Arabidopsis thaliana: one gene and its partners. The protein of the gene in region 1 interacts with the protein of each later gene in a pairwise test. Each region holds a gene or a part of one and is shown on either strand. Other genes may lie near its edges.

Region 1 (8,631 bases):
ATGATGATGATGAAAACTTTTCGGGTTACATTCGAACTCGTATGACTAGGCCTGTGCCTCGTATTGGAGACAGAAGAATTAGGAAGATATTGGCATCTAGACATTGGAAAGGAGGTTCGAAGAACAACACAGGTAAAATCGCCTTTTGTTTTAGTTTTGACTATCTTTATTATTGTGATTTGATGTTTGGTATTTGCAGATGCAAAGCCATGGTATTGCTCAAAGAGGAGTTATTACTTGCACCATCATCAGAGGAGTTATCCCATCAAGAAAAGGAAATACTTTGACAGTGTTTACGACTCGAACTCTGATGATTACCGTTTGCAAGGAAAGACTCATAAAGGTCCAAAACTTGTAATCTTCTCATTCTCTTGTTAGTATGTTGTAAGTCTTTGCTGTTGTAACACGGTTTTGCAAATTCATCCGCAGGAAGCAGAACAATATCTTCCATGAAAAGTCGAAATGCGTCCTTTGTGTCAAGGGATCATCATGGTAATTTAATGGAGTCTCAAGTCTCAATCTATCCTTTGTTCGCTTATTGTTTCGTTGAAATATTTTTGTTTTGTTTTGTTACTCTTTAGTGAAGCTGCGGATCAAGTCTTTTAGGGTGCCTGAGCTTTTCGTAGAGATTCCAGAAACTGCTACTGTTGGCTCCTTGAAGGTGTAATAACAAAACCTAGTTGTGCTGAAAATCCTGATCAAGAAGAACTTATATTTGTATTTTTGTAATGTCGGGGTTGTCAGCGGATGGTGATGGAAGCAGTGACCACCATACTGGGTGATGGACTTCGAGTCGGGCTGATGGTTCAAGGAAAGAAAGTCCGAGATGATGGCAAAACTCTTCTTCAGACTGGGATCTCTGAGGAGAACAACCACTTGGATTCTCTTGGTTTCAGCCTTGAACCTAGCTTAGAGACCACCCCTCAACCACTGTTATCCAGGTTCACTCTTCTCTTCACTCTCAGAGATGCCACATCGATAAAAAATCAATCTTTTGCGGCTTAAGGGCCTTGTTTTCTCTCTGCCAGTTATCTGTCAGATCATGCCTGTGATGATGTGACGTTATGCCACGACAATGCGTTGGATTCTAGTCATGAGCCAGAACCATCCCCAGCTGACTCATTTGGGAAACTAGGCACAAGTGATCATTCTAGAGCTTTGATTCCTGTTGCCTCAGCAGCAATGCTGGCTCCTCGGCCTCCTAACCGTAAGTTTAAAAGGACTGAGCAGCAGCTAGCTGCACAACGCAGAATTCGTCGACCTTTCTCAGTTACTGAAGTAGAAGCACTGGTCCAAGCCGTTGAGAAACTCGGAACCGGAAGGTACAAAACAAAGAAATAGCACTTTCTCTTCTTCATGTTGCTGACAAAATGTGTTTGAAAACTACAGGTGGAGAGATGTGAAGGTTCGTGCTTTCGAGGACGCAGACCATCGTACCTATGTTGATCTCAAGGTTAGTTAGTTTTTTAACTAACTCTTAACCTTAATATATACAGTTTGGTATTGAGTCTTTGCCTTTGTAGGATAAGTGGAAGACGCTGGTCCACACGGCAAGGATATCTCCACAACAGCGGAGAGGAGAGCCGGTGCCACAGGAACTTCTGGACCGTGTTTTGAAGGCACACGCTTACTGGTCACAACACCTAATGCATCAACTGCAGACTGAGCCACCATCCACTCAGGTAGAGGCTCTCTAATCTGAACAGGTTCTTGGTCTAAAGAACCTTTGTGTATTATTATGATGATCCATATTGTAAGATTCTGACATAGTTGAAGATCTGGTCTCAGTTCTTCTTTGTTTTTTTTTTTCTTTCTTTCAAATGTAAAGTTTTATAATTGGAAATAAGGTTGGGTTTTTTCTAACAATGTAAAGGATTTGTTGTAAATCTTTGGTGACATTTTTATTCTGTCTATATGATTTATGGCTCGGCCTATCATATCACAACGACAACGAACTGATATATATATACCTCATCCAAACTCTAGGAGTGCTGGAGAATTCAATTGTTGGATAAATTGTTACTCAAGCTGGTCTATGTTTGGTCAGTTTATGGTTCACATGTGTCCTATATTAGGAAAGAATACACAGAAGCTTGTGCTTGTGAGTGGTATGTGTGCTATGGTATTTACCTTAAATACGGGTCGTTCAGAGTAATAAGCTGGTCTCAAAGCCTCTTTTAAAGGCTATAGCCACAAACAAAGGCACAAAATCCTGGATCTCTAACCAGTAAAGAAGTCGATGTTGAACTAAAGTTCGCAAATATTTGCAGATAGCATTGAGTAGGCAAGCTCTTCCCACTTTTTTTTTTTTTTTTTTCACTGAACTGTTGCCTTTCATTGAATATTGGAGTTTGTGAAAAAATTTAAAGCAATTAGCAATAAAATCAAAAGGATATTGAAGTTTACATTTGGACCTGGACGAGATAATAGAGGATAACGTTCAATTTATTAGAAGTTATGATGACTGATATATTTACCGATTTAAAACTAATATATTTAGCAACTTGACGCAGCAAGAAAATTATGATTCTTAACTAATATACACCATATTATATATATTTAGAAGATTTAATTAATATTTAAAATTATGCTTTTTATTTGATTTTGTTTTAAATCGTCATATAATACATAAAATAAAATCAAAAAACAATTTTTTTTTATACATATATTGTGATTTTTAATTTTAAACACGGACACGTATTACCCAATTGACAAAATAATGTGTATGTTTAATGTTCCACATTGACTAAAATATTTAGACAATGATTCAGAATCATATCATATAATGAATATTTACAATAATAAAATAACTGGGTTTTTGTTGGAATGGGTTTTGCGGAACGGATTTTTGAATCTACATTAATAACAAATTAAAATATCATTAATCTGCCGTTTCAATACATATTAAATCTTTTTTTTAACACCACTAATATTATACATATCAAATCAGTCTGATTTAAAAAAATATATATAAAACCAAAATGTCTCATGGTATAATGTTACTATATAAAAATTGTAAATTATAAAATATTAATGTCTTAGAGAATTGTATAATTTTCAAACTTTTATATATAATAAATAATCATTAAATTTTAAAAATCACTACTTAAAAAAAAAAAAAAAATCAAGGGACAGGTTATACAATTAAGATTTACATCTTGTTTTTTTTTTGGAATTTTGGTGATGTGGTAACAGACTACTAAATAGTTTACGCGTATTATATGCAAAATAAATTATCAAACAAATATATTGTAGTAAATTATAAAATTTACTATATTATTATTTAAAAACTGAAATTTGCTTGTGTCTTGTAGAAAAAAAAACTGAACCAAAACAAACTTAATTTACTTCGAAGTTTTATATTTCGTTATACAAAAAGAAAAAGTCTAAATTTCTAAATACATTTAGAAAATATATTCAAGGTAATAACTAATAAGTCAAATATTTGACCAGACAAGTGACCAAAAGGAAGACAACAACAAGAAAACAAATAGCTTTTTAGCCATTTGGACCCACGACAGTAGATAAAGTCTTGGACATATTATTACTAACCTTTTGTGGCGGCTTAGTGTTTATCTTCAACCCCACACATTCTCTGTTTCCTCGAAACTTCATTTTTCTTCTTTGCCAAGACAAAGATTAAATAAGACAAATATCAACCCTATCCTTTGTTTATATCAACAACATCTCGCAACTTGTGTTCACATGAAACTTCTCACTACTCTCTTTCATTTCCTCTTTTCGTTGACTTACTAAAGTACTCTTGTTTCAATCTTCATTCTAGAGAGATTCTGTTTCATGGATGCTATTTTGCCAGTACCCGTTGATGGGTTCAGATTCGACACCGGTTCTGGATCTTGTTGCAAACCGAGGAACAATCTTGAATCTGGGACGACCAATCGTTTCACTTGTTTCAACGAATCTGAATCTCAGAGCAACCCTTCTCCGACCGAGTCTAAGGTATGTTCAGATTACCTTCCTGTCTTTAAGTACATCAATGACATGTTGATGGAAGAAGATCTTGAAGGTCAGTCTTGTATGTTGGAAGACAGTTTGGCTTTACAAGCCGCAGAGAGATCTTTCTTCGAAGTGCTTCAAGATCAAACTCCAATCTCGGGTGATCTAGAGGATGGTTCTCTTGGAAACTTCAGTTCTATAACGAGTTTGCATCAACCTGAAGTTTCAGAGGAGTCAACCAGAAGGTATCGACATAGGGATGATGATGAAGATGATGATCTTGAGAGTGGAAGGAAATCGAAGCTCCCTGCGATTTCTACGGTGGATGAGTTAGCAGAGAAGTTTGAGGAAGTGTTGTTGGTATGTCAAAAGAATGATCAGGGAGAAGCAACAGAGAAGAAAACAAGACACGTAAAAGGCTCATCGAATCGATACAAGCAGCAAAAGTCAGATCAGCCAGTAGATATGAGGAATCTTTTGATGCAATGCGCGCAAGCTGTGGCGAGTTTTGACCAGAGAAGAGCTTTTGAGAAACTGAAGGAGATAAGAGAACACTCTTCTCGCCACGGTGATGCGACTCAAAGACTTGGTTATCACTTTGCTGAGGCGCTTGAAGCTCGTATTACAGGAACCATGACTACACCAATATCTGCTACTTCTAGCAGAACATCAATGGTGGACATTTTGAAGGCGTACAAGGGATTTGTTCAGGCTTGCCCCACCTTAATAATGTGTTATTTCACTGCAAACAGAACAATCAATGAGCTTGCTTCCAAAGCAACCACACTTCACATCATTGATTTTGGGATTCTCTATGGATTTCAATGGCCTTGTCTGATACAAGCTTTGTCAAAACGTGACATCGGACCACCACTGCTCCGTGTGACTGGTATCGAGCTTCCTCAGTCAGGTTTCCGTCCATCAGAGCGGGTAGAAGAGACCGGGCGAAGACTAAAGAGGTTCTGTGACAAGTTCAATGTCCCGTTTGAGTACAGTTTCATAGCCAAGAATTGGGAGAACATAACTCTTGATGATCTGGTGATCAATAGTGGCGAGACAACAGTTGTCAACTGCATCCTCCGGCTACAATATACACCTGATGAAACCGTGTCCCTCAACTCACCGAGAGACACGGCTCTGAAACTATTCAGAGACATCAACCCTGACCTCTTTGTGTTTGCAGAGATTAACGGGACTTACAATTCACCCTTCTTCCTAACAAGGTTCAGAGAAGCTCTCTTCCATTGCTCGTCACTCTTTGACATGTATGAGACCACATTATCAGAAGACGACAATTGCAGGACACTGGTGGAGAGGGAACTAATCATAAGAGATGCAATGAGTGTGATAGCCTGTGAAGGGTCTGAGCGGTTTGCAAGGCCAGAGACCTACAAGCAATGGCAGGTTAGGATTCTAAGAGCAGGATTTAGACCAGCGAAACTAAGCAAACAGATAGTAAAGGACGGGAAAGAGATAGTGAAAGAACGTTACCACAAAGATTTTGTGATCGACAATGATAACCACTGGATGTTTCAGGGCTGGAAAGGAAGAGTCCTTTATGCTGTTTCTTGCTGGAAACCTGCTAAGAAGTAATAAAACAGTTCTGTAATCATTTGCATAATTTTGCTAGCTTTCCATTTCTTTGTTTTTGGTTTCAAAGTGTTGTAGAAACTGTTTGCTCTCATATATATTGAATGAGTCTCTCTCTTTCTCTCTACTTTCTTGCAAGTACATATGGCAAACCAAGAATTCAAAACTTATTTCAAAAAGATCCATAACTTTGAACTGAACAAACCAGTTTGCATATCAATGTGTCTGATGATAATACAGATGTTGTACGAAGATAAAAATTCACAATATAAACAGAGAGACTAGACAAACTAAAAAGAGTATTAAAGAACAAGAAAGTGATTACTTGGAAACTTTCTTCTTCCCTGTAATGGCAATTTTCTTGCCTTTAAGGGTCCTTGGATGCGCCTTACCCCACGGTAACCTTGTACAATGTGTTTTCGTCAGACTAAGGTCTATTCTTTTTGTCTGGTCGAGGACCCAAAAGATTAAGATCAATGGTGGCTCCATAAGTCTCAGCTGATTTAACAACCGCATCATATGGCTTAGAAGAGAGTTTAAGCCCTTCGTTTTGAGCCTTCACATGTAACTCATAAGCAAGCCTTGGCTTTGCATCATTTGCAAGAGCCTCAATCAACATCTCGTAAGTTATCTCGTTAGGCTCAACATTCTCACTTTTCATTCTATGAAACCACTCATAAGCCACACCACTTAACCCGTTCCTCGCGCAACCACTTATAACCGCGTTGAAAGTCACAACGCTCGGTTCAATACCCTTTGAAGCCATTTCCTTGAGAAGGGTATCCAAAAGATTGAACTTTTGCTGTCCTGTCAAAACTGAAGCCATTGTTGTGTACGCGTAAAGATTTGGCTCAATCCCTACCTTAATCATATGGTTCCAAACCCGAAACGCCTCATCATATAGCTTCCCTTTCTCAAGAGCACTGAGTAGTGCACCGTATGAGATGACCGTTGGCTTTTCACCATTGTCAACCATTGCTTTAAAGATTTGGATCGCAGCTGTGGTCTCAGAGGCTTTTGAACATGCTACAAGAACCGCGTTCCAATGTCTCCTCTGCGGTTTCAATCCTTTATCTTCCATTTTGTTAAGTAACCTAACTCCCCATCTCCATATCCCTCTCTTGCTAGCTGCACTCAGCAAGATATTGAAATGAGAGACCACTAACTCATAAGACAAATTGTTAGGTTCAGGTCCTTCGTCAAGAAGATCCTCGTAGATCTCCAACGCTGCCCACCATTTCTTAGCCTTACCCATCAGCCAAATCAAATGGTTGCAAACAGACAGACTTATCTCAGAAAACCTCTCTCTGATTCTTTTATACAACTCTTTACCAACAATATAATGCTCTTCACGAGTACATGCCCATATAAGCCTCTCGTGCTCTTCCCTACTCGGTCTAACCCCTGCACTGTCCATTGCATTCAAAAGCTTCAACACTCTAGTAGTCCAATTATCATCTTTCACCAACCACCGCCTCATCACTTGGTAGCATATTCTACCAATAAAGTTCTCAAGCTTAACAAACTCAAATTCCCAATCGTAACCAACATCATTCCCTATTTCCCTCTTTGCGTATTTCTCTCTCAATTCAACAAAGAACTCTAAAGCTCCCATACCGTCTTCCATTCTTCTGTAAACAAGCAAAGCCGTTGAATATGTAATCGGGTTAGGCTCAAAACCCTTTTCCTTGGTTAAATCAAGAATCCCAAGAGCCTTGAGAAACTCACCTTCCTCCATGTAAATAACCATCAAAGTATTGTAAGTAACAATGTTTGGAACAATCCCTTCTTCCTCCATATCTTTCAGTATCTTCTCTGCTTCCCCAAACCCTCTCATAGCACCCAAAAGGCTGTTATATATAAAAAGATTTGGACCTATGACACCGCCTGATTCACTCTTCTTCCTCTTAAGCCAATCTACTACAGCTACCGCAGGCTTCAATCTCTTGTCCTTGCCAAAACCCTTTATCATAGCACAAAAGACTTGCAGAGGCAACTCTCCCTTGTCCTTGAGAACAGCATCCACATCATCAGCTGTCTTAGCAGCTCGTAAACTAAACGCTAATTCTCTAACATCAACTCTTAAATTGTTCTTTTCTCCTCCATTTGCTGAACTTAAATCTTCCGTGGAAACTTCTTCTTCCCCGAGCTCGAGCTCTCGTTGCTCAGTGGCCCATCCTACCCCAAACGATGATCCCAACAAACTTCTCTTTGGCTCACACAAAAACAGAACTTTCCTGTTACTCGAAACGAAGATGAAGCTAGAGATACTACTACTACTACCGAAGCAAGCCTGTTCAAGAAAGCAAAGTCTCTTTCTAGTAGTCTTAGGGCTAACTACAAAACAAGAACAATCCAACTCAAATTCCAATCTTGATCCAACTAAAAGACCAGACTTTAATGGCAAAATGCTTAAAGCTTGCATCTTTTTCCAAACACAATCTCACAACTAGCGTTATGTAGCATGGAAGCGTCAAAAGACACACGATTTCACGCTTCAAAAGCGCAACGGAAGCACTCTCTTCCAATTTTGCAAAATCAGAAGCGCAAAGTTCTTTCAGAAACTGAAGCGTAAAGATCTCTTACAAATTAATATTGAACAAAAACGAAAATTGAGGAGGGCTTGAAAATAACTTCAATGGCGGATTCAGAGCCGCGAAGAAGAAGATAGAATTTTTGTCTTCTTTTCTTTATGTGAAAACTGAAAATAAAATACTATTGGGCTTATGGGCCTCAATTAAGCATGAGATTTAAAAAGCCTTTTCTACAAATTAAAAAATTGCTAAATTAATTGTTTTTTAGAAATGAAAAATGTAATTAAAATCCCCAACTTATTGAAAAAGTTGATTTGGATCTTTAACTCTCGATGAAACGAAATAAATATCAAACTTCTATTTTTCAAAAATAACAAACTTTCGTTGGTTAAATAGGTTAACATATCCCGTTAACGAAGTTAATTTTTTGTCAATATACATGTTAACTGAAAACGACATTGTTTTCTATAATAACAAAATGACGTCTTTTTGTCGTAACGGATGAACGAAATCCTTAAATTCAATCTTATATCTCTAAATCGAGCAAAAT
Region 2 (7,704 bases), on another chromosome or scaffold:
TCTTCAGACATGTCTCGATATCTTTTGGCCAAACACGAACTAACAATTTGCATAGACGTGATATACTAATCATCATATATCTCGGCGTTTCTAGACGTTAAATAAAAAGTAGATCATGTGACTTGCGGAAACAATATATTAAGACAAGTGTCGTAGCTTTCAGCAATAAAAGAGTGAAAGAAACACAAAAATATTCGCACCACCATAAGGTACTTTATGTTATGGCCGTTTCAAGCTGCATTTGATTGTTTTATCCTTTTATCATTTTCCTCATAACTTAACCACTAAGGTTTCACCATTCCCTCTCCCCACGCGCACTACTCCAAATTTCAAGCTATCAAAGCATACAAATAGTACAAGACATATCTGGGCCAGTGCTTGGGCCCATAATAAGAAGATCCAATCTTCAAGACAGCTTCATGTCGTTAGGCTTCCAAATGCAAATCTCACTGTTAGTTTAGTTTTGAGTTAATAATCAATCAACATCTACCTCAACAAACAAATCAAACCTATTGTTAGCATTATAACATGTATCTTTTCAAGTAATTAACAAGAGTACCAAAGTCTGTAACATCTTAAATTGCAACCAATGTTTGAATTCATTTCAACATATCTTTGTTTTTTCGTTAAAGCTAACTCAGACTGCGGTGAAAGACAAAGAAGATGATAAGGATAAAGTGGTTGCGACGAAATGAAAGAAGGATGTGATAACATGGCAAGCCTTTAGCTTAGGCAGTCCCATGTCAAAGAAGGTAGATGAGAAACATACCTTGGGTTCCTCTTCTTTTCCTTATTTGACATGAGATTGCCAAGCTATAAGGCTTGTGTTAATACTTTTTCATATTCTCTTGTGCAATCTGAAAGTTTTATCTTCATCCATATCATCATCTTTGTCTTTCACCACCACAGGGCAGGCTGAGTTTGTGATAACCAAGACAAACTTATAAATGTAACATGATGGAAACAACATTTCCAGAAACCAAATGGAACATAAACATCAGCTAAAGTGACAATTAACCATGCTATTCTCAATCAACAAGGACTATACCATCATTCTTCTATTAAGCAAGTCATCACCATCTTTCATCTATACGAGGATTGAACATTATATATTGAACAAACAAAATGGGATAAAGACTTGTCAAAGCAGCAACAAGTTCCAAAAGAGTGACTGAGAGCTTACAAAAAAGGCAAAGCGATAGGATTTGATAAGGTTTCAAGCCTGAGTGCCTGTCAACGACTTCATCTGAATGTGATTAGAATCAGCATTGTTAGTCGGCAAAGCTTCATAAGAACCAGTTCTTCTCACTCCGGCCGCCATCACCACCATCGTGTAAGTCACAAAGATGAGGATAACCACAAGCACGACGTGTACAGTGAACATTAGATCCAATATAGAAACAGCTCTTAGCTTAGAGTCCTGAATATCACATTGGGTTGATCCTTCAACACCGCTTTGAACATCAAGAAGACGATGACATCCCTCAGGAATAAACCCATCAACGTAGAGAGAGAGTCCAGTCTGAAGCTGCCAGAGACCTTGAAGACAAATGGCAGCAGCGAGAGCAGCGTCAGCAATAAAGAGTCTTGAACGGCAAGCGAGAAGCAAACAGAGGAGAGAGCATAACGCGGAGATACGAGCAGAGAGGGAATCACAATGAGCTTGAAGATCAGATGTTTGAATTGCAGCTGATGAAGACGCGGCGGAGTAATGGAGGAAGAAACCAACGGAGGCGAGTGCGAAGAGGAGATCGGAAGGGAGAGGGATTAACGAGGTTGAATCGGAGAGGAGATAGTAAATGGCGATGATGAGGAAGAGGAAGAACACGGCGGCGGAATTGAGAGATGAGAATCGGTGAACAGGAGTACTTCCTTTGACGAGAGGATCGGAGTAGAAGGAGATTAGGGTTTCGTGAAGGAAAGCGACGAATAGAGAGAGTATGAGGATGAACAGTGGTAGATTTTGGAGGCGGTTGTGATTGTGGTGGTTGTTTCCGGTGACGGAGGAGAGACGTGGAAAAGGGTAAAAGGGTTTCGCGGCGTAGGATTGGGGAGATTTAAGGAGATGGAAGAAAGTGCAGATGAGATGATACAATCCTAGGGTTAGTAGTGACGCTGAAGCGAAGAGCTTGTACATCATCTCTCCCATTTTCGAAGCTTGATTTTAGGGTTTTGTTGTTGTTGGTCGGGATTTGTATGACTGATAAACTTTCTCCGATCTGCTTAAGAGAGGTAATAGAGAGGACGATCTGGTCAACTGCTCCTTTAAGTTGACCGGTTAGTATTGTTAAACCAGCTGACTTTTTCGGTTATTTGACAATTAATTGCACTATTTAAACCGGTTTTATAATGGATTTTCCCGGTAGTTGGTAATTCAATATTGTATTTGTCAGGAAGAGATTGATTGGTGCTTGATTTGTTGCAACATGACTACATGAGCATGATGTTTCACATTCTTAACTAATAGAAATGGATTTAGACTATTTATGGGGACGAAGTGGTACATACAATGTGTTGGTGACGACCAATAATCATAATTAACTAATAGAGCATTAAAAAAACAAAGAATCAACCGTCTTAATTAAGCAAAGCAAAGCAAAGCTGCTATAGACAATGAGAGATTCAGCTAATTATGTGATGGCAATATGACAAAACAGTGGCTGCAATAGCTAATGTTGTCATCCAATAGGACTGAGAAAAGGTGTTGCCAATGGAGGAACTTCGGTCTGAGTTTGTAGATCCTCCTCTAGAACCTGCAAGAACACAAAATATTCATGAAACATCTTTTGATTGAAAAAAAAAGAAAGAACTAAGGTTTGAGTGTGTACGAGTCAAGCAAGCAATGGGATTGACATGTTCTCCACATCGAGCAGGCAACATTTGAGCATCATTGACATCGATGCCAGCTCGCTCGGCTTGAGAACTCCAACGGTTACTAATCATACGGCACAAGCACTCTGGATTGTTCCTTATCACTGATTTGAGAGGATTACAACAAACTTGAGGTACTTCCTTGGTCCCATTCAGGTAATTTAGGCATGGAGCAAGTTGGTTTAGACACGAAACGCTCTGCCCATTTATCCGCATCCCCGAGCTAGCTGCAACTAGAAGAAGTACAACGTAAAAAGAGAAAAACTTCATCCCCATCATCATATCACCTTAGTTTACTATTTTGAGTGTTACTAAAACACTTTTGTACTTGTTTAATTTTTATGTTTGGTGACCAGCTTTTAAGATAGGTAGACATGGTTCACCAGTCAAACCTACTACCACCGTTTGACCATCCTCAACAGGTAAGTTACCAGAAGAACCCATCAAATATGAAATAATTTTACATTACGTAAGCAAATACCAAAACCACAGAAGTAGAATAACAAATTGTTATTCCATCCTAGAATATAGTTCTCGTTCAACCATAAGAAAAACACACAGAGGTTTGGGCTATACAAAGTATGTCATGCCAACTAATAACCCATCGAATAATGGGCTTTTGATGTCCAAGGCCCATATATATTAAATATGTATTTGAAAGTAACACAAGAGCAGTTTCTTGTTTTCATTAATCAAGATACAAATGATAACTTGTTATTGAAAAACTAATGACAAACAGTCACTTTGATCACATAGGCAGAGATCAAGGACGGCGAAACATAGATAAACCCAAAAAAGAAGAAGAAGGAAAAGGTACAAATGAGGAAGGTATTAAATATGGACGATGAGAAAGAATTAGGAGCCAAAGTAGTTGAAACCTTGAGGGAAAGAGTCAGAAACCGGAGGCATTCTGCTGAACATTGGACTATGTACGTACTCAGACGAGTAGTCGTCACCGGTCCAGGTCCACTGTGGTTGGCTATAACACGAATTCGACAAGTCGCTCGGGAGAGGAGGCAGCTCATTACTACTGTCATTAGAATAGCAATAAGAATTCGAAGATTGAGAGCCACCAAACATGTAACTGTCCACTTGATCACAATGAGGCTGAAGCATTGGCGAGTCAGTGGATGAGTATTGGTTAAACATCATCATGTAATCGACAGGATCATTGCTAGGAGGAGCAGGAGGAGGTGGAGGAGGAGGAGGATCGTCAGGAGAAACAATGGAGGTGACGGATGAGGAAGGAGGCATGTCTGAGTAAACAAAGTTGGTTCTGGCACGTGTGCCACGCATGGACCGAGCAGCTCTATCGTAGGCCAAGGCAGCTTCTTCCGCCGTATCGAAAGTGCCAAGCCAGTGACGCTCCTTCGTAGTTGGGTCTCTAATCTCAGCTGCGTATCTTCCCCAAGGCCTTCTTCTCACCCCAAGAAACCTTGTACCAACCTGATCGTCTTGCTTCTTCTTGCTCTTTGATGATGTTGTGTTCATCTTTCTAATAATGATACTATACCTTTATGCATACACAGATCAATAAATGTCCGATATATCTATCTTTTTTCTAGTTGAAGGAAGAGAGGGAATGTGTGTTGGTCTTGGAAAAGTATCCCTTACCACAACCCTTTTATATAAGAGCTATACCTTTCCTTTTTCTCTCTCTTTTTTCATTGTGTATAATTCTTTTATATATCTTTTTATTCCAATTGAAACAACATTTAAAAATGGCTCTGTGTTGAGTTAATTGTGGCCCATGATATATCAATTATCAGTCAATCAAAAGTATATAATTATGATTAAGTTACCACTTGATAGCATGTTTCATGCATTTCTCAAGGTTGTTCTACACTAGTGATTTCATTTTTATACATGGTTAATTCTGCTAAAATATAATGCTGAGTTCCGACTGCCTTTAATCATACAAGTGCTAATATATCAACTCAATCAATTACAATAGTAATACATAAGAGCTTCTTTTTGTTAGGTGATGTATATATTAGAGAAGAGAGTGAAAGAATAACAAAGAAATTAGGATCATTATCAAAAATAACTTAAACAAATACAATCCGTTAGCATATTATATATAAATATCGATAGATACACATAATCATCATTCATCAACAATAATAAGCTGAAACAAAGGGATTAGGAATGATAAGAGCCATGATTAGCATGTTACCTTAGATACCAGTGTCCCGAGTCTAATAATAATAACATGTCCGAATTGATTAACAAATTAACGAGAGATAACGTAATAGATAAACTATTCAATTCAGAGAATATATTTGGTATAACGCGTCCAAATACTACTGCATGTGATGGTCCATATTGAATGATGGAATGTGCATGAACTGCGAATTTAACATGAAAAAGAGAAGCAAACCCTGATTATTGCATATATGAAAACGCAAACACTTTCCGTCTTATCAATCATACAACACATAAAAAAACAATGAGTTTGGTGTTTTGGTTAAAGTTAATAATTGGTAAAGAAGGGTGCAATGATGGCCGCATGATGGAAGGTAGTCGACTAAATTATGAGGAGGAAAGTCATTACTTAAGCAGCTATTATATCATTATATGTGTATTAATCTTGTATTACTAATACGTCAGAGTAGGGTTTTGACTTTTGACCAACACAAAATTAAAAGAGTTGAAGTCTCATGCATTAGAGAGAGATTATGATATTTGATATGAGTATCTAAGGAAGCAAGTGGTAGCCTTTCTAAGACGATCTTATTTTGTGTCAGAGGAAGACCAAAGACCATTTATGTTTATGTTTGGCTACACGACCAACGTTATGGACGGTGATAGTGGATCGTATCATTTCTTAATCTTTTATAATATATACGTCCCATTTGTCTACATGTACAATAATCACAATGTGTGTTAGCGTTAATTAATTAGAGATTAGTCAAAAACAATATAGGGGTAGTGCATGTGCTCCCAATTTTATAGGCTGCAACTTCAATGAATATTGCCACACCCTTTTTCTTTCATCTCCCACTTTCTAATCCCAAGGCATCTATCTATTTCCTTATAATTTAATCATTTATGTGTTTGTCCTCTTGGCTATGAATATGATATCGTCTCTTCCTAAATTCAGTTTCTCAAATTATATATATTCTGACCAAAATACTCCATTCATATTCATTTGCTATATACTATTTTAAAACAAACATGCATTATTGAGAACAAAGGAATTTGGGTTGCATGTGAGCAATCTTTTATGCTTTTGAAATTTTATCTTTAATCTTAATTTCATTGGAGTAAACAAGCCCTATAATTTATGTTCCCTCACTTTTGACCAACTCTCATTTTTCTCGTTTAATTTTATATTCTAAAGTCCAATCTTGATGCATTGAATCTTGTTTACATTTACGTTCCGCTTCTATTCTCTATCGCCTCTTATTATTCTCCGATATCCACAGACCACAGGTTTCTTTACTTAATTAGTACTACGTTCTCATGGTCTACGGTGGAATATTAGTACATGTAAGAACTATATAAAATGTATCAATGGACAAAATATTTATACGAATCCTACTTAATTAGGATTTAGGTCAAGAGCCCTAATTAAGCCCTCCCAGTCAGATCACCGCCTTTTTCACTACCATCACTACTCTTAAGTGACTTCGGCATTTGCAATACCATTCTCGAACGTTGTATGTAACGTCCTCGAACAACTGGAGATATACACAAGCTGACAAGTGAACACATGCATATCCCAATTCTTAACTATATCAGTTTTATGGAAATTGGAAGGATGTTTTGTTCTATGGTCCGAGTCTCAAATTGACGAAACTAGCAATTCTCTATAACTCATCTCGAACTATTCTTGATGCAAATAATTTGATGATCAATTATCTGAGGGTTTGGGCCTCTAATTGTGTTAGTTTAGTAGAAACTAGAAAGAAAAAAAAAGGGAAGAAAGAAGAGAAGGCATGTGCGCCCAACGTGGAAAGGCATTTTCTTGGACGCTTAACATAATTAATCCTTTTTCTAATTATTGCCTAACACAAACATCTTTTGTCTTACTTAAATCTAATTACTCTTTTAATCAAACGACCATGTGATGAGCGCACTAAGTAGATTCATAATTCTCAACCACATTCAAAAGTTAAAAACAAAGTATGTCTGCTTTTGGCTCATCTAAACCTGAAGGTGACATGGGAGAAAATTTAGGGGCACGAGCTTTGCAGTCACCTATCAATTAATCCATTAATCTAACTAGTCTATACACGTTATCCGATGAAGAAGTGTAAAATGTTGGAATTGCCGAGTTAAAATAAAAGATAATTACCTTCCAACACTTGCAAGGGCACTAATATGCAAATGCTCAGGTTCTTCTTCTCTTTAGACCAACAAACTCATTTTGCTTAAACACTTCTACTTCTTTTCCTAGTTTATCTGCAGTTTCCTGCATCCTCTTCTGAGACTCAGCCATTTCTCCAGCCACTTCCCTGCAACTTGCTCCAAATTTTAATGTCTCAGCTTCACAACAAACCATCTCCTTCTCTGTTTCAAGTAAAGTTTTCCTGAGATGACTAGTTTTCTCATGAAGTAACCTTAGTCGCCTGTACGAAGCCATAAATTCACTCAACATTTGTACATGTTTCCCTGAAATACTCTCCAATTGAAGCTTCTCTGAGTTGTACTGATCAATTAGGTTCTGCAAGCAAGGGAATGACCACTCAGCTCCATCAATTTCAGGTTGCTCATGGTTTGTCCTTCCATGTATCACAACAGAACCACTAGAGACCGTATCTCTGATCAAATCACTCATCGCTTCATCCACACTCAACTTAGAAAGAGCACTATTTGTTGGCTGATCAC
Region 3 (7,603 bases), on another chromosome or scaffold:
TAATTAATAAATTAATAACTGTATAAATATTGAAATATCATAATTTCGATATTATTAATTTATAGAGGTTAAGCTTTATTAATTTCTAATTTTTTACTGTTATAGATTCACTAATTTTTCTTAAAAGGAGCATGTATATTCTCAAAATTAGTCGGATGTTAAAACGAAAAAAATTGAAATTGGGTGCTAAATATTAAAAAGAACAATATATCCATGAAACAAATTATCTTTCTTTTCTTTAGCCACATGTCATGAACCAAAATCTCTATTACATTTTTGTTGCTATTTGTAGTTGCTTCCATTAATATTCATACAAAGGTCGAACTTAACTCTGATTAATGATTTATTACATCTCTATAAAGTGGATACAAAGCTAGATGTCTAATCAAGGCGCAATATAAAATCTCTCTCTTCCCACTCTAGTTACTCTTTATATTTCCATCTTCTACGACACATAGGGCAATGGCCATAGCTCTGATACCATGTAATTGTATGAATCTCCGTGAATGGAAAGTTATGTATTGAACATATATATATAGGGTTACATGAGATAAGCATAAATCTGTTCATAAGATATTAGATATATACAAATATAAGATTCTCATATATCTAATCTAACAGGCAATAATCCCCGAGGAGTTTACTTAGAGGGCAATCATCCTCAGGGAGTTTGCAGTCAGGACAAGAAGCATCAAATGGCATCCGACATAACCCACATGTCTCATCTTGAGCATCCCATGTACCCCATGCCATCTAAAGTTTCTCACAATGTAATAGTTTTGGTGTATGAACCGTAAGAGAATCCAACAAAGGATTATTGAAATAGAAAATAGTCAAAATGCTATAATTTGAAATAGTTCATTAGAGCTTTATTGTGCAAAAATATAAAAAGAGGGAAAATAACTTAGATTGTCACCAAAACAAAGAGATTGTGGTTAATATTTCATAAAATGGATGAACGAGAGTTGTTTACATCTTTTAGACACATAACAATCCTATTTATATCACTTTCCAAAGAAACCCTAACACACATAGGCTTACAATAACACACATTAGATTTGTTTTGGATTTGTGTTTAGCTTTTAATTCCCTTGAATGGTCTTACATAAATTAAAATTGCATGTAATACTGAGAGTCAATGAATTTACTCTGTTTTTGAGTTTGAAAACATTGTAACACTGAGAGTCCATGAAAAACCTGTGTTTGAAAAAACAAATACTAATTGCAGGCGCATTGATCAACTGATCTTATTCTGCCCTATATGAATCAGTTGAGAGTTGATAAGAAGAATCCTCATAAGAAACTACTAGAAAGTCATCAACATCACTAACCAAAATACTCTTGGGCTTTCCAAGTCCAATCTAACTTCCACATTAATATGATATTGTCCGTTTTGGGCTAAGTGGCTAAACCCTCACAATTTGTTTATTGGGCTCCTAAGGTTGAATAGTGGAATATAGATTTAAACAACTTCTTCAACAGGTTCAAGAAGATTTCTTTTAAAGTTTTAGATCTAAACAAATATGTGGAGACAACAAACAAAAATCCAACGTACTCGGAATAATCTGAAATTTGATAGCATGTTCGGGAGACGAGAACTAAGGGATCAAATTTTGGTTCAGATGGTGAAATGAACTAAGTCGTTTTAGGAGTTAATTCGTAAGCTTATTGAACTATGTTTGGTTAAAGTTACTAAGTTTAAATTTCTCGTTCTGTTTTTTAACCACATAATAACGAATATTTTACATAGAATAATATAGAGAGAGGATGAGGAAGAAAGTGAGAAAATAACGAGGAAGATGAAGATGAAGACTATAACGAAGAAGTGAACGAGAAAGTAATGATGACAACGGCTAAAAGAAAATTAATAATTAAGATGACAAGAATGAATATGAAAAGTAAGAAACAACGAATGTGAAGAGAAATACAAAGACATATGTGTTGACATTCAATTGAATATGAAAAAATAAAATTGATTTATGATTCTTTCAAATAAATTCGATTCTTAAACACTACTGATTTTTATAATTTTAATATAGTGTATTTGAAATAAAATTGAATTTTTACTTCGATTTAAAAAATATAATTAATTGTATGTATTTCTTACCGAAATATATCAAAAATACACACGTATAGCGTGGGTACAAAACCTAGTTACAAATACAAAGATTAAATATGTGGGCGAATCTAATTATTTTGAATGGTTTATAAATGCTAGTTCAAATCCACATGTTAGATTTTGAAAATTTCATGGCATTTTAAATTTTATATAGATTTCAAAATCTTTGGCAAAAGGTAATAATATAGATTTCCAAATTAATTAACATACACAAACTAATACTCCCTCTGTTTTGAAATAGTTTTCGTTTATGGTGTTTTTACAGAAATTAAAAAATCAATTTTTTTTTATTTTACCCTTGTTTAATATTTTTTTTATTGGTAATGACATAAAAACAATAAGAATATAATTGGAATTTTTACCAAACATCTACATTAAAAATCTAAACCGATAAATATTATCAAACAAAATTTTAATGCTAGAACGAAACCTAAACTAATACGGAAGGAGTAATATCCTCTTAAGAATGTTTTTTTTTTAAATTACTTCCGTAGTTACCCTTTAAAAACATTTTTTTAATTGATTCTTGACCTTTTTTGTTATACTTTGTTTGCAAAAAAAACTTAAAAAATCTTTATGAAAATGATTTTTCAGTCAAGATTACCCACCACAATATAAAGTAAAATCATCTAGATATATATTCTATGTATGTTCAAACTATGTAATATTTATCTTTATTATATGTAGATATGTTTTCCATACATATAACATTTCAGAAAAAATAATGATAAAAATATTTGTAAAGTAAATGTTTTCCACATAAGATATGTTTGGATAATTATTAGTAATAACAATTATTTTAAAAAATATTTTATGAACCAGATAAAGAATAGTCGTTCGGTCAACTGGTCATGGATAAAAACTATTTTAAAAACTCAGCACTATAAGACTATAAGTCTATAAGTCTTTTTGAACAAGTGTCAGTTCTTGTTATGCAAAATTTTGGTATTAAGAAGTAACTATACCCAAAAGTTAACAAGGACAATTATTCAGTTAAAGTGTAACTATACTTTTCACAAACAAACTAAAAAACTTGTAACTAGATTAGTAGACTCCTTAATTCCTAAGTAAAAAATAAAAAATTGAAAAAAAAATTTACTTCTAAACATATATATATTTCTTTCCATTATCGTATTACCAATTTTGATATCCCTAAAAAGGTATGATATATATATGGTTGAACTGAGATAAATTTTGCTTAATTCCAACAATCAGATCTTCTATATAAAAAGCACTTCTCCATTCAAAAGTATAACACACAAAAAAATAAAGTCATGACGAGACAGAAAGTGAAAATGACTTTCATAGAAAATGAAACAGCAAGAAAATCAACATTCAAGAAAAGAAAGAAAGGTCTTTTGAAGAAAGCTCAAGAGTTGGGAATTCTTTGTGGCGTCCCGATCTTTGCTGTCGTCAACAGTCCGTACGAGCTGAACCCGGAGGTGTGGCCATCGAGAGAGGCTGCGAACCAGGTGGTGTCCCAATGGAAGACGATGTCGGTGATGGACAAGACCAAGAAGATGGTGAACCAAGAGACCTTTCTCCAACAGAGGATCACCAAAGCAACCGAGTCTTGGAAGAAGTTGCGGAAAGAGAACAAAGAGTTGGAGATGAAGAACATTATGTTTGATTGTCTTAGTGGCAAAACTTTGGTTTCTAGTATCGAAAAAACTGAGCTTCGAGATTTTGGTTATGTCATTGAACAACAACTCAAAGATGTTAATCGTAGGATCGAGATTCTGAAAAGGAACAATGAACCATCTTCCGCCCTCGTTCCTGTTGCTGCCCCTACAACATCTAGTGTCATGCCTGTGGTTGAGATGGGTTCTTCTTCGGTTGGATTTTACGACAAGGTTCGAGATCAAATTCAAATTACTTTGAATATGAAACAGACCACAAATGATTTGGATCTGAACAAGAAACAGTGGTGAGCCATCGTTGATCTTATTTTAAGTTGTTGTCATTTCAACTATCAATAAAAAGTTATTGTTTTAGTTCTGTTTGTTTAAGTTACATGTTTGGGTTGGTTTCACATGTAGTTGTATTTTCTCATGAATGAAATTTATTTTTCTTTCGTTAATTAATGTTTTCTCCTTATATATAATCGTTATGAATAAATGCATGCATCATATCAGTTCTTAAAACATGTTTTCTATACAGTAATGGCACAAGAATTGCATTCTCTGAACATAAACACAAATGGAAACCAAGCCATTGTGTCCAGTCTCAAATATTTGTAATTTAGATCCATCACTTTTCGACAACCAAGCTCGTTCAAGATTTAAGAGGTTTAATTCTGTATAAAAGGTCGTGATTTAAGACTTAACACTCCATTAAGTTTGAATAACATTGAACTAATTGAGGTCAAGTAAACCTAAATAAGAATTTATTCGCCAAAAACAATATGTTGATAACTAGGTTTGGCAATAAAATATTCAGATTTTAAATTAGGATTTTTACTAGCCAAATTGCGTAAGTTGAGATTTTTATTGGGCAGAATACGTATAATTGATTTTGCCAAATGAGGGCCAACATTGATAAACTTAACACTCCATTAAGTTTGAATAACATTGAACAAATTGGGGTAAAGTAAACCTAAATAAGAATTTATTCGCCAAAAAAAATAAGTTGATAACTATTTCTGGCAGTAAAAATATTGAGATTTTGTATTGGCCAAATTGCGTAAGTTAGGATTTTTACATGCCAAATTCCGTAAGTTGGGATTTTGATAGGCTAGAATGCGTATAATTGATTTTGCCAAATTAGGGCCAACAGTAATCAAACTTAACACTACATTAAGTTTGACTAACATTGAACAAATTGGGATAAAATAAACCTAAATAAGAATTTATTCGCTAAAACAAATAAGTTGATAACTATTTTTAGCAGTAAAAATATTGAGATTTTGTATTAGCCAAATTGCGTAAGTTAGAATTCTTACAGGCCAAATTGCGTAAGTTGGACCGCCAAATTGTGTAAGTTGGACCGGCCAAATTGCGTAAGTTGGGATTTTGATAGACAAAATGCATATAATTGATTTTGCCAAATTAGAGCCAACATAATCAAACTTAACACCCCATAAAGTTTGAATAACATTGAACTAAATGAGGTAAAGTAAACCTAAATAAAAATTTATTTCCCAAAACAAATAAGTTGATAACTATTTTTTGCAATAAAAATATTCAAATTTTGTTTTCGCCAAATTGCGTAAGTTAAGATTTTTACTGACCAAATTGTGTAAGTTGTGATTATTATGGGTCAAAATGTGTATGTTGAGATTTTTTTTACCTTTTCTCATTTGACGAAGGTAATATAGTTAGTTGCTACAAAAATAGTTTTATTTTTAAAGTTATAATAGGGACAACTGTATTCTAAAATATAAAGTTTAATGAGTAATAGCCAAAGGTTTGCATAACCAAAATAGAATCTTGGTTTGAGTGGGTAATTATATTTTTTATAAAAAATTTTTTACTAGACTCCATAATTGCTATCTAAAAAATGATAATCATAGTCGAATCACGAATGGTAAACCTACTTTGTCAAAATAGTATACTCTCTTTGTTTCATATTAAAGGATGTTTTACATATTTTATTTAGGTTCACAATATAAGATGTTTTAGAAAATATATGTATAAGCATTTTAAAAAGTGACCAACTTATTCATTTTGACCAACTAAATCATCATTTTTAATTGATTTTTCTGAATTAGAGACAACGGTTTAAGTTTAAATTAAATTGAACTAATTCAGGTCAAGTAAACCTAAATAAGAATTTACTCGCCAAAACGCGTAAGTAGAGAGTTTTTTTACTCTTCCCATTTAACTAAGGATAATATAGTTAGTTTATATAAACATAATTTTATTTTGTAAGGGTAAACTATATTTTTACAAAATATAAAGTTTAATCACTAAAATATACCCAAAGTTTTGTGTAACAAAAGTAATTATAGTTTGATTGGGTCTATAACTCTTATAAATAAAAGGCTAGACTCATTAAGTGCTATCTTTCTTTTTGGAAAAATTAAAATTAAATATATATAAATATTTTAAAAGTCGTCAACTAATTCGTTTTGAATCACTTATCATCTTTTTTAAATTAATTTTTCCGAATTGAACTAACGGTTATCAAACTAAACACTCCATTAAATTTGAATAACATTGAGCTAATTGAGGTCAACTAAACATAAATAATAACTTATTTACAAGAAACAATATGTCAAAGAAACAAAGTTCATCACCTTACTTGTTTTGACTAAATAAGTCATCAATTTGGTATTGTAAGGAAAGATTAGAGCCAAAGGTACTTTAATCTTAACACTCCTTTGGATTTGAATAATACTGAAACTATTTCTACCACGTGATTATGTATTTTTACTTGATATATAAGAAATCAATAATTTTGTTTCTTATTCTTTCTACGTTGAAGAACATTGACGTACGGTGATGCCGTATTGATGAACACCTCCAGTGATTACTTATGGTGGTGGTGATGAAACTACTCTAACGTGGAGATGATGAAGATGAATCCGACGTGATATGATGCTGATCTGGCGATGACGAATTCAAATCCGATTGTTAACCACACAAGTTTTTTTATGAACAAGAAGTTTGAAGAGCGACCAAAACTTGTATTTTGTCGATGTATTTAAATTAATCTGAACTATGTATCTTTTAAATTAAAGTATTATTAAAATAAAAATAACAGAAATAAAATGTTTAATTTCACTGAACGGGGTTAGATGGTAGGACGGGTTTGGGTCGACAGTAATACGAGACGATATACCACGAGTGAAATCCATTAAATATGTTTAGTTTCACTAAATGGGATTAGATGGTAGGACGGGTTTGGATCGATAGTAATACGAGACGGTATACCACGGGTGAAATCCTACATATAATAATCAAAATACAATTATATTATCTTAAATACTAAACAAAACAAATAATATCAATAAAATAAATATAATTTAAATTATTTAGTTATAATCTAGATTTTAACTTAATCAACTGTACGTTATTGTTCTAATATTTTCAAACAGTAAAAATCAAAATACTAATTATATACTAAATAATATACAGATATAAGAGTTGTACATTCAGAAAATACAAAACATTAAATCATATATTTTAAATCGAGTAAACAAATTAAATTTTTGTTCTTAAAAGATCAAAATAGTCCCGCAGTGTATCGCGGGTTAAAATCTAATAAATATTATTATTAGTTACCTAAGCATTTGTTTAACTTATAAATTCAAAAAATAATATTTTATCATGTGTATTCAATCTTTGGATCAACTCAATCCAACTCAACTGATGAATCCTTTAAAATTGACTCTTATGGAATTAATGAGTCCAAATAGTTTATGAGTTTTATAAGTTGGGTTAAAATGAGTTCATGAAAAACAAACCATCACAAATTAATCGATCGGGATGATGGTAGTGTGATAACTATTAATTATTTTATTGATAAACTTATTTAAACTTT

What was found. Proteins that work in one complex are often made in the same cells at the same time.
Region 2: the proteins of AT3G46600 (region 1) and LEP interact in a two-hybrid assay, tested with the Arabidopsis thaliana proteins (one large-scale study listed by BioGRID).
Region 3: the proteins of AT3G46600 (region 1) and AT5G26630 interact in a two-hybrid assay, tested with the Arabidopsis thaliana proteins (one large-scale study listed by BioGRID).

Annotation. Positions count from the first base shown.
Region 1 is NC_003074.8:17,154,250-17,162,880, forward strand, and holds AT3G46600 (GRAS family transcription factor), read left to right. Parts: upstream 1-3,674; 5' UTR 3,675-3,798; coding exon 3,799-5,550; 3' UTR 5,551-5,716; downstream 5,717-8,631. Other genes in the region: TRFL1 (TRF-like 1), read left to right, coding at 1-132, 200-343, 430-492, 582-661, 745-941, 1,029-1,322, 1,390-1,453, 1,524-1,697; AT3G46610 (Pentatricopeptide repeat (PPR-like) superfamily protein), read right to left, coding at 5,975-7,972. UniProt on the Arabidopsis thaliana protein: Probable transcription factor involved in plant development.
Region 2 is NC_003076.8:4,478,724-4,486,427, forward strand, and holds LEP (Integrase-type DNA-binding superfamily protein), read right to left. Parts: upstream 4,525-7,704; 5' UTR 4,363-4,524; coding exon 3,727-4,362; 3' UTR 3,405-3,726; downstream 1-3,404. Other genes in the region: AT5G13890 (plant viral-response family protein (DUF716)), read right to left, coding at 1,217-2,149; AT5G13900 (Bifunctional inhibitor/lipid-transfer protein/seed storage 2S albumin superfamily protein), read right to left, coding at 2,623-2,753, 2,829-3,153; AT5G13920 (GRF zinc finger / Zinc knuckle protein), read right to left, coding at 7,208-7,704. UniProt on the Arabidopsis thaliana protein: Cell division-promoting factor involved in leaf blade differentiation, inflorescence branching, as well as in carpel and silique shape. Promotes the number of xylem cells.
Region 3 is NC_003076.8:9,347,422-9,355,024, forward strand, and holds AT5G26630 (MADS-box transcription factor family protein), read left to right. Parts: upstream 1-3,390; 5' UTR 3,391-3,393; coding exon 3,394-4,050; 3' UTR 4,051-4,199; downstream 4,200-7,603. Other genes in the region: AT5G26640 (anaphase-promoting complex subunit 11 RING-H2 finger protein), read right to left, coding at 420-474, 620-753.